Linked DNA regions of Canis lupus familiaris. The protein of the gene in region 1 purifies or fractionates together with the protein of each later gene. This does not show direct contact. Links are inferred from orthologs where the notes say so. Each region holds a gene or a part of one and is shown on either strand. Other genes may lie near its edges. The genes, in order: TGOLN2 and GALNT2.

What was found.
Region 2: the proteins of TGOLN2 (region 1) and GALNT2 purify together in Homo sapiens (affinity purification with mass spectrometry; 3 studies listed by BioGRID and IntAct, counting the BioPlex papers as one, with this or other methods). This does not show direct contact. The link is inferred for Canis lupus familiaris from reciprocal best matches to the Homo sapiens genes TGOLN2 and GALNT2.

The regions. Positions count from the first base shown.
Region 1 is NC_049238.1:40,035,386-40,042,432, forward strand, and holds the start of TGOLN2 (trans-Golgi network integral membrane protein 2), read right to left. Parts: upstream 3,998-7,047; 5' UTR 3,857-3,997; coding exon 3,811-3,856; intron 3,591-3,810; coding exon 2,401-3,590; intron 850-2,400; coding exon 766-849; intron 1-765. UniProt on the Homo sapiens protein: May be involved in regulating membrane traffic to and from trans-Golgi network.
Region 2 is NC_049225.1:9,430,852-9,437,100, forward strand, and holds the end of GALNT2 (polypeptide N-acetylgalactosaminyltransferase 2), read right to left. Parts: intron 5,022-6,249; coding exon 4,866-5,021; 3' UTR 2,421-4,865; downstream 1-2,420. UniProt on the Homo sapiens protein: Catalyzes the initial reaction in O-linked oligosaccharide biosynthesis, the transfer of an N-acetyl-D-galactosamine residue to a serine or threonine residue on the protein receptor.

The DNA.
Region 1 (7,047 bases):
CCCTACACAGAAGGCAAAAGGAGGGGGTGCATGCTGGCAGCAAGGCAGTGGAAGTACCCTGTTCCCACTTAGACAGGATGCCCTTTGGGGAGAGCCTTGCTCCGATCATGCACTGTGAGGTGGAAGCAGGCTCTGCTTTCTGGTAGGCCTGCGTTGGCCCCACTCAGGAAATCTAGTCCACAGTACTTGATAGAGCCAATCTGGGGAGTTGGAGGCCTTTATGTTTCTGGACTCATTTGTGTTCAGGAAGTGTAGTCTAATGCTTTGCTACCTAAAGCCTGGTTCCTCAGCATTTGGCGTCACCTACAAACTTCCAAGAGATGTAGAAGCACAGATTTCACCCTATATGTAATGAATCAGATTTTGCTTTTTCATCACAATTCCCAGGGTGATTAACATGTCTCCTAAAATTTGTGAAGTGCTGGTTCAGTGCAAAAAGTATAGGATAGGTGTCTATGGAGTTGCCATCAGGTCTTGATTTTGGCACAAACTTTTAGGAGGAACTTTGGGGAAAATCATGTTTCTGGGCCTCAGTTTCCTCCTCTGTCAAGAGATGGAGCTGATGTAGAACACATGAAGGCTTCTTCTAGTTCTCATATTGCAGACATGCATACATATGGATGTCTCTGCTTTGTGGTCCACAAAGGGCAGGGCAATGGCAGTGGCACCCAGAATCAGCTGCCACCACCAGTGCAAATCAAGTGCACTGCTGGGCCTACCTGAGACTGCATATCCCTCCCACACACCTGGGGCTCCCTTCCTTACCTTCTGGTCCAAACGCTGGTAATCACTGGCTTTTGGCCGCCGAGTGACTTTAGATCTTTTTCCTTCTAGGACAAAAGCAATAATCTGGGGAAAGGAAAAAGAAATTAACAGATGATTCTACAATGGCTTATTTCAGTCTCTGAAATCAGAGGTCATCACCTGGTAGTACATTTTTTTTTTTTTTTTTTAGATTTTATTTATTTATTCATGAGAGGGAGGGGGTGGGTTGGGCGGAGAAGCAGGCAGAGGGAGAAGCAAGCTCCATGCAGGGAGCCCAACGTGTGACTCAATCCTGGTCTCCAGGATCACACCCTGGGCTGAAGACGGTGTTAAACTGCTGAGCCACCCGGGCTGCCCTGGTACTACATTTGTTAATGACCCCGGCAGTGAAAGAGCCGCAAACTCACAAGAGGCATCTTTAAATTATAACAGTTTTCAGGAGGACGGGGCCTCCAGTTACATCAGAATCTTTTATACTGCTAAACAGGAAATGACAGATGAAGGAAGACTATTCTGGCCGTTAGCCTGTGGGAGTCTGGATGATTTACTCAAGAGCACAAAGATCTGCCAGCTGTGCCCCACACAGCTCTAGGATCAGACATTCCTTTTCTCTCACAAGCAATAATTATTTCTTATCTGCAAATGTACTTTTCCTCCCCACACCTTGCTTCATTTTAACCTTACTGCTTTTACATCTAAGATTACTCTGTGGGACGAGCACTTGGATGTAGAATAAAGAACTATTTTTACTAAATATCTTCCCTCATTCCTCATAGCCATAGGCATACTGATATCATAAACTGAACTCTCCAATTTTAACCAGGCTATAGAAACTACTAAATTCTTAGAGCTAGCGGGATCCCTGGGTGGCTTAGCGGTTTAGTGCTGCCTTCACCCTGGGGCGTGATCCTGGAGTCCAGGGATGGAGCCTGCTTTTCCCTTTGCCTGTATCTCTGCCTCTCTGTGTGTGTCTCTCATGAATAAATAAAATCTTTAAAAAAATAAATTCTTAGAGCTCAATAAGAAATGCAATCATTTGTCATCAGAGTGGTTGCTAAGCAACACAGATATTACTCCACACCAAATCTGCTGTAACATTAAAAGACGATTGTATCCATGCAATTTTTGGTCATTCTTCTAATCGGAAACTCAACCGATTGTAGAAGATAGTCCCTGGGCTCTCTGCTGCTGATGTCAAAGACTATGTAACCACTCTTTCTGCCATTGCAGATGCAAGATAAAAGTGTGGGAAAGGAAACTAGAAATGATGCACTATCTTCAGAGTGGAAATAGGAAGATAAGTACTCTACTTACAAACTGTCAGGTACTCAGATTCTCGGAGGCAGTAAAATGATCTAAATTTAAGATTGTGGGAGAAGACCCCAATTCAGGTCAGATCATAAAAATGTCCTCATTTGGCACCTAACACAGCAGCAGAGGGCACTCAAAAGAATCGGACATGAAAGAAAATGATTTATAAAATGAGAGTAAAGAGACCTAGCAGAATCTGAGGAAAAACTGAAGTTTGACTTGAAATCTCCAGTGCTCACAGGCAGATGAATGACAGATATTGGCCCACACACCAAGCTTTCAAGGTGGAGGAAATCTCATTCCTCAAGACAGTTCTTGACTTACCTTCCGTTTATTGTGATAGGCAATATAGAGGACAGCAACAAGAATGGCTGCAGTCACCAGATAAGCAAAGAAGTGGCTGCTTTCTGCACTAGCACTTCCAAGACTGTCCTTATAAAGGTCATCATTCTGCCTACCCACAGAATCCAAAAGTGTCCCTTCACGGTTCTCACTGGAGGCAAGGCCAGGCATTTCTTTCTCTCCTTGGAGTGGTGAACCTTCTTCAGGCTCCGTATCCCCTTCCTCAGCCTTCTTGGGTTCCACATCTTCGGTAAGCTCTATAGACTTGCCTTCTCCCTCCTGCTGTGAAGTGGGGTCAGAGTCCAGTAATACTCTCTCCTCAGATTCATTTTTATAATCATTCAGAGTGGGATCTTTGTCGGCTGGTATGTTTAAGTGAGGCTTGGTGGGCTTCTTGTTATCAGAAGAGGGGTTAGAGACCAGCTTGTTGGAGTGGTCATTCAAGGACTGCATCTGGGACTTCACCTTGCTAGTGCCATCTCCTGTGGCCTGTGGCTTGGGCTTCTCATCGTCAGGGTCGTCTCCCATAGAGTGTGGCTTGGGCTTCTTGTCAGGGTTGTCTCCCATGGCCTGAGGCTTGGGGATCTTGTCAGAGTCATCTCTGGTGAGCTGTGGCTTGGGCTTGTCAGGGTCGTTTCCTGTGGCCTCAGGCTTGGGCTTCTTGTCAGGGTCCTCTCCTGTGGCTTCAGGTTTGGGCTTGTCAGGGTCGACTCCTGTGGCCTCAAGCTTGGGCTTCTTGTCAGGGTCCTCTCCTGTGGCTTCAGGCTTGGGCTTGTCAGGGTCGACTCCTGTGGCCTCAAGCTTGGGCTTCTTGTCAGGGTCCTCTCCTGTGGCTTCAGGCTTGGGCTTGTCAGGGTCGACTCCTGTGGCCTCAAGCTTGGGCTTCTTGTCAGGGTCCTCTCCTGTGGCTTCAGGCTTGGGCTTGTCAGGGTCGACTCCTGTGGCCTCAAGCTTGGGCTTCTTGTCAGGGTCCTCTCCTGTGGCTTCAGGCTTGGGCTTGTCAGGGTCGACTCCTGTGGCCTCAAGCTTGGGCTTCTTGTCAGGGTCCTCTCCTGTGGCTTCAGGCTTGGGCTTGTCAGGGTCGACTCCTGTGGCCTCAAGCTTGGGCTTCTTGCTAGGGCCGTTGTCTCCGGGCTGTGGCTGCAGCTCGCTAGGCTCTCCTGTTGGGGCCACTGAAATAGAGAAACCAGTTCGCTCTGAAGAGAGGAAATCCGGGAGAAGGGAGCCCTCAGAGCTAGAAGAGACCGAGGCAACAGGCAAACGGGGGAGGTGGGTGATGGCAAGCGGAGGGGTGGCTCCGGCAGGGAAGAAGCGGGTTCAGAGAGCGACCCGGCCGCGGTGAGGACGGTGGACCTAGGGATGATAGTAGGATTATTGGGGGTGGGGTCTTACCCGCCACTGCGAGGCTCAGCAGGGCCAACGCAATCAGGAACCGCATCCTGCACTTACTACTCTTCCGCTCTCTACTGCTCTCGCGACATCCGCGCGCGCACTCTGGGCGCTCATAGCCCCGCCCCTTCCTGCGCTCGTCCTTCCGCCGCACGCCCAGGCGAGGGGAGGGGCCTCGGCAAGGGCGGGAGAGGACGGTGGTTCTGCTCTCGCTGGGGCCGGCGCAGCGTCCCTCGGCGCAGGCAGCTTACACCTTCTTCCTTTCCCAGGTCCACCACGAGCGTCAGTCCCCTTTTCCTTCTTTGCCCTTGTATTTCCGAGACAATTTTGGCAGAGCCAGAGCTCCCTAGCCTGCGGATGGCCCCGTGGGGACTGCACTCGCTGGGACCCGGCGCCTGGGCTTCAGACTGCTCACCTTTCTAACCTCTCTTTTCTCATGGTTCTTTGCTCGTAGCACACAAACGTGTTGCGCTCAGGTCTCTCCCATCTGGAAACAGAAACTGATCCCGTCACCTTTGTAGCGGGAGCCTTCCCAGTCCAGTTCCTCTCTTTCCTGACCCCGCGGAAACTGCTCTCCGAGGTCTCCCCAAAGGTACATCTTTTTTCTGGTCATGAAAGTTCTTCACAGTCATTATAGAAGATTTAGTGAGCGTATTTATAGAAATAGAAGACAAAATCTTTGTCCCATTCTTCCGGGATAATCACTATTAAAGTTTTAGTGTGTTTTCTGCCTTGCAGACATTAAAAAAGAAAAAAGACTTTATTCGTTCACGAGAGACAGAGAGAGAGAGGGGGGCAGAGACATAGGTAGAGGGAGAAGCAGGCTCCTCACAGGTAGCGCGATGGGGACTCAATCCCTCAACCCAGGATCACGCCCTGAGCCCTGAGCTGAAGGCAGACGCTCAATTGCTGAGCCACCCAGGCGTCCCTGTCTTGCAAACATTTTAATATATTTGGTTTGGTACATTCTAATGGTTCAGTAAAAAAAAGCTATACATGAGAAAGTTCTTGCTCCCTACCATTCTACAGTTACCACTTAGTTTATTGTGTTTCTATGTAGTGTTTTATTTTCTAGTGTTTTTTTTTTTTTAACACTTACGTATGTACTTATTTTTTCCTCCGTCTTATATTGGTGTATTTTTTGTTCTTTTCTATACATATTCATTTTCCTCCAAATTTGTATCATTGGGTAAATAGTTTTGTATCATACTGTTTTTTTTTTTATTTTTTTAAAAGATTTTATTTATTTATTCATGAGAGACACAGAGAGCGAAAGAGAGAGAGAGAGAGAGGCTGAGACACAGGCAGAGGAAGAAGCAGGTCCATGCAGGGAGCCTGATATGGGACTTGATCCCGGGTCTCCAGGATCATGCCCTGGGCCAGAGGTGGTGCTAAACCGCTGAGCCACCAAGGGATCCCCATATCATACTGTTTAAAGTACTGTTATGTTTATACATTAATGGCTGCTTGAAATCGTTTTATAATCATTTGCCAGGTTAGGTGCTTAGTAGAGAGTAGTTTTAAAAATGATAGATCCTAACTTAAGAGTGTAGATATCTCCCAGGTGAAGTTGAAGAGAAGAGGATGAGTTCTCCCTTCAGCATGTGCGAAGGCCTGGAAGCAGGTGGGAGCCTAATATTTTGTGGAAGTCTAAAGATGAGAACAAGATTGCTAGATAACAGAGAATAAGGAAAATGGCAAAGGATGGGTCTGGAGCAAAGCCAGATTTAGGAGCAAATGATCTGGGAGTTGTCCAGAACATAAGTCTTTGTGTGACAGAAAACTACATCAGAAAATATTCCAGTTAACTCGGGTCAAAATGTAATCCCACCAAAAAGGACTACAGCCACCAAGGGAAATACTACTCCTCTGTAGTCTGTTGAGTACAATATTTAGGTTACATGTCATGCAGTTCCAGTCAGTTGAAATTCTTCAGAATTTCAAGGAACAGGTACATGGCATAGAATGTTTTCAGGACCAGGTACTTTGTTATTTACAAACCCTTCAATATACTTCCCAGTGTTCTTCTGTTGTAAGAAAATCTCACGCACACTCTCATTATTGAGGAGAGAATAAGAATCACATAGAAGTGGGGTCCCTGGGTGGTGCAGTGGGTTAAGCAACCAACTCTTGATTTCAGCTCAGGTTGTGATCTTAGGGTCCTAGGATCCAGCTCAGAGTCAGGCTCTATGCTCAGCAGGTAGTCTGCTCAAACTTCTTTCTCCCTCTGCCCCTTCCCTCTGCGTGCATGTGCGTGAGCTCTTTCTCTGTCAAATAATGTTAAAAAAAAAAAAAGAATCAGAGAAATTTTTTATGAAGTTATTTCAGAAATGTGACTCTGCTCTGGCTAAAGGATGTGAACTGGTAAATGAATCTGTTTCTAAAAGAAAATTATCTCCACCTCCCTTAAATAAATATTTGGCTAACATGACAGGATATTTGCTTGGCATGTGTGTAAGGAAGGGAATGGAATTGTTTAGCTTGACCTGGCATCCATATTACTAGGCAGGAGAGTAGTGTCCAAATCATGCAGTATATCTGGCATATAATTAAGACTCCCCAAAGTTATTATTATATAATTAATTACATTATATGAGATTTTTAAATATAAAGATAAATGAAAGTAAGAAAATAAAAATATCTTATAATCCAGAGCTATTGTCATGAATATTTTGTTGGTTTTCCCTTCTTTATAGGCATTTATGTGCATATGATAGATTATTAACTGAAAATAAAGCCAGTTACAAAACATACGTACCATTCTTACCTTACAGGTCCTCTTTATAGTTTTAGTGCTACAACCAGTCATGCCACTTATCTTCTGGGACACAATCATCTTGTTTCCCACTTTCTTTACTCAACATCCTTTGAGAGTTCCCAGTTGTCCCAATTGTCATAGAACTGAGTGTTTCTTTTTTTAAAAAAATATTTATTTATTTGAAAGAGAGCAAGCACACGTGCAAGAACATGAGCTGAGCAGGGAACCTGATGTGGGGATCGATCCCAGTAACTTGGGACTATGACCTGAGCTGAAAGCAGATGCTTAAGCGACTGAACTACCCAGATGCCCCAACCTGAGTGTTTCTATGAGGAAAGTGAAATCAACAAAATAAAATACAGCATAGAGTTGAAGATAAGGAGTTAAAATTAGATTTTTTTTTTTTAAGATTTTATTTATTTATTCATGAGGGACACAGAGAGAGGCAGAGACACAGGCTGTTGAAGGAGAAGCAGGCTCCC
Region 2 (6,249 bases), on another chromosome or scaffold:
TCCCGGTCCTCCTCGCCAGCAGAACCCACGTCTGTGACCAAGGACAGTGGCCCCGGAGAGGACGACTGCTGGCCGTCTAAGCACCTGAGCGCCCGGTTCTGGGCTGCGGGCCCGAGAAGCCTGCGGGTGGGGGTGCTCAGTGGAAAGGAGAGGAAGGAAAGAAGGGAAAGGGAAAGGGAAGGAGAAAGGCAGGCAGGCAGGAGGGAGGCAGGGAGAGGGAGAGAAGGAAGGAGGGAAAGCAAGGAGGAGGGCAGGGGGAAGGGGAGCCAACCTGGACAGGCAGCCTGGGGGGTGGAGGGGGGCAGTCAGGCAGAAAGCCGTACTATTTGTTCCGACAGGGTCGAGCCCCAGGACTGACCCGGAACCCTGTCACCTTTAGACTCCTCGTTATACAGGACAGTAAATGTCTCTTTTCATTCAGGCTGCATGTAACTGAGATTTCTTACCCTCGACTCCGAGCTCTCCAAGAGTCTCCTGCAATTCGAGAGCGACGTGACGGCTCATCCTGCAAGTTCATCAGCGAGCCCACAGGGGCCACTCGGAGGTCTCACGAGGCGGCCCCCGGAGGGCCACCCCCTCCCCCAGCCTGGGCTCCAACAGGACCGAGGAGGCCAGCGCCTTTTGGAGGCCGTCTTTATTCTCGTAACTGCATTCAATGCGTTCAAGGTCGTCTGACCCCACCCCCACCCCAGGCCGCAGGTGTGACGTAGGGTGAGCACCACAACGGTCTATTTTGCAGCCCTGTCCCACTGACCCCAGGTCCCCAGGGGCTCAGGCAGGGGCTGCAGAGCCATCTCTCATTACTGTTTTGGGACGCTCTGGTCCTACAGTGTCTTGGAAACAATGTGTATCATCTGCAGCACACACGATACAGAAAATCAACTACCGACCCTTGTATTACCTTACCGGTAGACTGGTCAGGAATATTAGTAAGTTGGTCTAAGAAGGGAGTTTGCTTTTTTGCTTTTTGGGAGGTCCATGAACAGAAGAGATGATGAGATTTTATTTTTCTGGTGGAATATTTTTTAAGAGTGTGGAATGTACTGTAGAATCAAACAGCTGAGTCAGGTTACATATTTTGTTATAATCAATGTTGCACATCTGACCCTCTCCAGCTCCAGTCCAGGGCTCACAGAGCTCCCTTCCCCCTGTATCAGCTGAAACTCCTTCCAGAGCATTCCAGAGCCCACACCTGACTCTACTACCCAGGCTCGTCTCTGCAAAGCCCCCACTCAGAGCCTGCAGAGCACCCTGTCTTCTTGCTTGGCATGGAACATTCCCTCCCCTCCTAAGTCTTCAGGACTGTCAGGGCAATACAGAGTTTCTCAACAAATACTGAATGAATAAACTTTTCCCTGATGCCAAAGCAGGAACCTCACACACACACACACACACACACACACACACACACTCCTAGGACTCTGAGGGACACTGCACAATTATGCTAAGATCTTTGTTTCTCAGATGGTAGGAAAACTGAGTTTTTGGTTGTCTCAGATAATGGGGAAAGAGGACGCAGAAATGTGGTCTCTGGAACATTAAGAAAAACTCATCTGGGCCAGCCTTTCCGGTGTGCTCCTCTCAGCACCCAGTCCCCATCCAAGAACAGGCCATTGTAGTGTTTTTGTGATGTACCTGTGGGGTATTTCAAAGGTAGGTATTTTCAAAGGCTGAGAATAAGGGGGAAGGGTCTCAGGCAGCTTCAGATGGCCCCGGAGAGCCCCAGAGAACTGGTAAACAAGCCTGTGGGTTTTATTTATTTTTTATTTTTTAAAGATTTTATTTATTTATTCTTGAAAGAGAGAGAGGCAGAGACACAGGCAGAGGGAGAAGCAGGCTCCATGCAGGGAGCCCGATGTGGGACTCGATCCCGGGTCTCCAGGATCAGGCCCTGGGCTGAAGGCGGCCCTAAACTGCTGAGCCACCTGGGCTGCCCGCCTGTGGGTTTTAAATACTATAAAAACTGTGAAAATGTTTGCCCCCTCGCCCCACCCCAATTCGGTGTGCAAGGCTCTGAGTGCCCAGGACTGACTCCAGGTGAGCACTCGGGAGTGGTGTGACCTTGAGCAGGTTAGCCCCTGCTCTTGAGGTTAAGGGCTTCAAGCCACAGCCTCTCAGGCCAGCTGTGAAAGGCACCCCATCACATCTTCTCTCAGGTTACCGCGAGCAGGACAACAGAACGAATCCCAGGGCTTGGCTCAGTGCCTGGCACATCATAAACACTCCACCGACGATAATGGTTATTACTACAAATAAGAATAAACACCACAAGGGCGCAGCAGTACTAAGCAAATGCTTTTAAAAGTGTGCTAAGAAATGGTCATTGAGCAGGGTCCCCAAAGAAGACAGGCCGTTTCTCAGACATGAGTCACCCCCCTCCAGTAAAGCCCAAGAATGACCGCAGCCACCGCCAGAGAGCGTTATCTATAAAGTATCTTCTCTTTATTTAAGTTAAACAATTTTCAAGGATGGTTTCCATCTATAAAATGGACAAAGTACAAGCTCTGTACAGCAGTTCTTTTTTAAAAATCAACTGGAAAAAAAATTACCAAACTATATTTTGAATTTGCAAAACATACTCACAGATACCATCATTTTAGCTTTTATGAAGACATAAGAAAGACCATCAGAGAGAAGAGGACTGACTTCGCCACGCTTTGCTCAAAGGGCTCTTGGGAAAGAATCTGTATTTGTAAAAACGGGAGTGAGAGGGTGGGATCGTCCCGATGACTAAGAAATAATGCAACCACAGTAAGTCACTTTGGCACACTGTTGTCTTGTAAACATAGCCCACCTCCAGGGAGCCCTCCCGGCCCACCTCTACTCACGAGGCCCGCACGGCCGGCCACCTCTGCCACCCCCACCCGCTCAGGGACGGGGAACAGCCCCAGAACAGGGGGGGTGGGGGGATCCTGATGGTACAAGCTCGGTGAGAGTTCTGGGTGGGGTGGGGGCGTGTGGGGGAAGGATTCATCAACAACCTGACTCGAATTGGTTTTACATCAAAGCCAGATTTGTTTGCTAGCAACGGGTATTTTTTGCTAATGCCTGCAGGAGCTCACAGGTGACAGGGTCCGATGATGGAACCCAGGTGCTGGGGCAGAATCACCAGTACCGAGACTGGTTCCCGTCCCACCTGCCCTCAGCAGCCTCGCACAGGGAGCTGGCGCTGTCCCCAAGGGCCTACCTGCAGTCCCGACAGCCTCTGAAGACAGTGCAGAGGTCAGCCATCTGTGGCTTCCCTGTGCATTGTGAGCACATCTGGTTGCTTGACAGAGGGCAGGAAGACGCAGGATGGTGGCCCAGCCACGCCTCTGTACCTAAGCCCAGTGTCCCAGGGCAAACACATGGGGCTTTTGCAGTGGAGGAAGAAAGACCAATAGTGTCCCCTTTCCTAGAAGAAAGGGACAGGGAAGAGAGTGGCACTTTGCAGAGTGTCAACCCAGCAGAATCTTCTAGGGCCACTTCTCACTCTGTGACCTCCAGGCCCTCCCCAGAGGGGCCTGAGGATGTGCATGTCTGACGCATGCCCCACCACGCAGCAGCTGTGGGTGGTCCCGGGGTGGCCTCTCTGATGCTGGGCATACGTGCGGGAGGGGTGGGTGAAGGCAGTGAGGGGAGAAGGCAGGAGGGAGCCATTCTGTAGGGGGCCAAGGGGGCTCTGCAGGCACCTTCCTGGGCATCCCTTCCTGCTACAGCTTTTAGTTCCTAACTGTCTTGTGGTTTATACGGACCCCTGCTTCCTAAAGCACAAGCCTCCTGTTTTGTGCCTGGAATCCTCCACGTCAACTGATTAGGCATCGTCTGGTGTCCCCCTCTCCTAACTCCGGGGCCCCATGACCAAAAGCAGGCACACAGGTCTGGGAGGGACAGTGTGGGCAGGCCAGATTCAGGCCGTCTTGCCAGCTCATGGGACACTCACGATTAGCCCGATGCCCGTCTAGGACAGCTTCCTACCCTCACCTATTGGAAGCTGTGGGGCTGGGTTCTTGTTTTTTTGCTTTTTCCCTAAGAGAAAAAAAATCTAATTTTAAAAGACCCAAAGTAATGTTTGTCAAAATAAGTAACCCATCCAGGTTTACAGATACTGAGGGCACAACAATGGATTCCGACACTTAGCAGCGACTCCCAAGCTGAAGCCCCCAGGGGCCCCCGCAGCACCTGCTCACTGATGGGGCTCCCAGGGGCCACGAGGCCACCTCCTCCCCGGGGGAGGGCCCGGTCCCCGTCCTTCCGGCTGTGAACTGCTTTGTGGGGAACTGACACGATGAGGACAACCTACAGAAACCATAAGGAACTGACCGTACATTCTTTCCTTATATATATTTATACTTAGTGTCCCACCATAGAAAAGTTCATATTCAAACAGAGCAAGTACATCACGTGGAAGAGGGGGCTGTGCTGGGAAGACAGCGGGGACGGAGGAGCGGGACGGGGGAAGAACAGAAATCTGCAAAATGACACGGTTCGGCGTCGTGGAAACCAGATGGGATTTCGATGGGATCGAAAATGGAGATTTCAAGAGTTCTCCTCGCGGTGACGTCGCAACTACACTCCCTGCCCCCTCCCCGCCCCTGCCCCCCTGCCCCCGCCGGTACGTGTTCGTGTTCGGCGGCTCCTCGGGCCCTCCCAGGGATCGCTGGGGCTTCGGTGGCGGCGGCGGCGGCCCTCGCTGCCTCCCACGGGACGAGGAGCGCGGTGTCCACCCGGGCCCTGGGCCTCGTGCAAGTTCTCCGACTTTCAGACCATGATGGAATACTGAGGTATATAGTTTCGCAGAAAGTTCAAGAAACATAATCAATAAGGTGATCACCCCACTCGGCCTGCTGCTGTGGGCGCCGGGCCAGCTCGGCCTCGGGGCGCTCCTAGGGCTGCAGGTTGAGCGTGAACTTCCACTGCTGGGACAGGGCGGGGCCGCACACCTCCACGCTCAGGCCCCCGTTCTTGGCCGCGCGGCTGTCCAGGCACAGGTTGCTGCCCACGTGCCGCAGCTTGGAGTTGCCCTCGATCTGCTCCCATTTCTGCAGGAGACAGGACAGTCAGTGCCTTACGATCAGAGCCCACACCAAACACCAAACAGCCCACACGAAACACATCGTTTGCAGGGTCTTCTAGCTACGTTACAGACAGACAAACAAAAAAATCCAAGTATTTTTTTGGGGGTGAGGTGGGGGTGGAATCTCTGATCATAATGGAGGAATTACCAACTGTCCCAAGACAAAGCAGCCCAGGGGTGGTTCAGCATCCAGGAAGGAAACCTACGCTCTCTGCCTTGGTCTGCAACTCAAAACCTCTGTGCTGGGCCTGCTGAGGATGGCTTCTCCCACCCCACCACCCCCCTTCCCTGGCTGTCCCCGCAGCCAAGGACCAGTGCTCTGGACACCTGGCCATTCTGAGTGATTAACGCAAGGACCTGAGGTAGGGAGCTTCCAGTAGGGAATTTGCATTCATCCACAAGAAGGCCTCCTCTGAGGATATTTCACCATAAAGAAGGAGCCCCAAGAAGCTGAGCCAGAAAGAGGACCCCAATCCCACCCCTGGCTACGGAAGGTAGCCCTGCCCAGAGGCCGTGGCCTGGGCACCTCCATGCTCCCACTGAGGGCCTTATGCGCAATTAAAGCAGGGGAATGGGTACGAGATGCTTGAGTGGACAGGATGTCATGCTGAAGGACCCGTTTCTAATAATGTCTGTTTTCTCTACTAGTCTGTGAGCTCTTCAATGGGGGTGTGACAAACCTGTCTCAGCCACTCCAAGGGCCCCCAGTGCTCTGCATGGCAGGGACCAAGCAATACTTGCTGAGTTCCAAATGTGACACTTGCATGCTTTTTTTTTTTTCTTTCTTTTTTTTCCTTTTTAAATATTTTATTTATTTATTCATGAGAGACACACAGAGAGAGGCAGAAACACAGGCAGAGGGAGAAGCAGGCTCCCTGTGGGGAGCCCAATGCGGGACACTATCTCAGGACCCCAGGATCACAACCTGAGCTGAAGGCAGACGCTCAACCACTGAGCCACCCAGGTGCCCCTCAAATGTGATACTTGTAAAGCACAGGGTGTAGCATCTTCTTATTTGAGTGTGTACATCCTCCCTCCACCAAGACCAACCCACTAACCTCAAACAACCAGCTAACCAAACTCAACCAGTCAACCAACCAGCCAACTCACCAATCAACTAATCAACCAACCAAACAAGAAAGAAAACAGCCCACAGGCTAGCCTAAAAGAAATCTGAGGTCCCCTCACCTTGT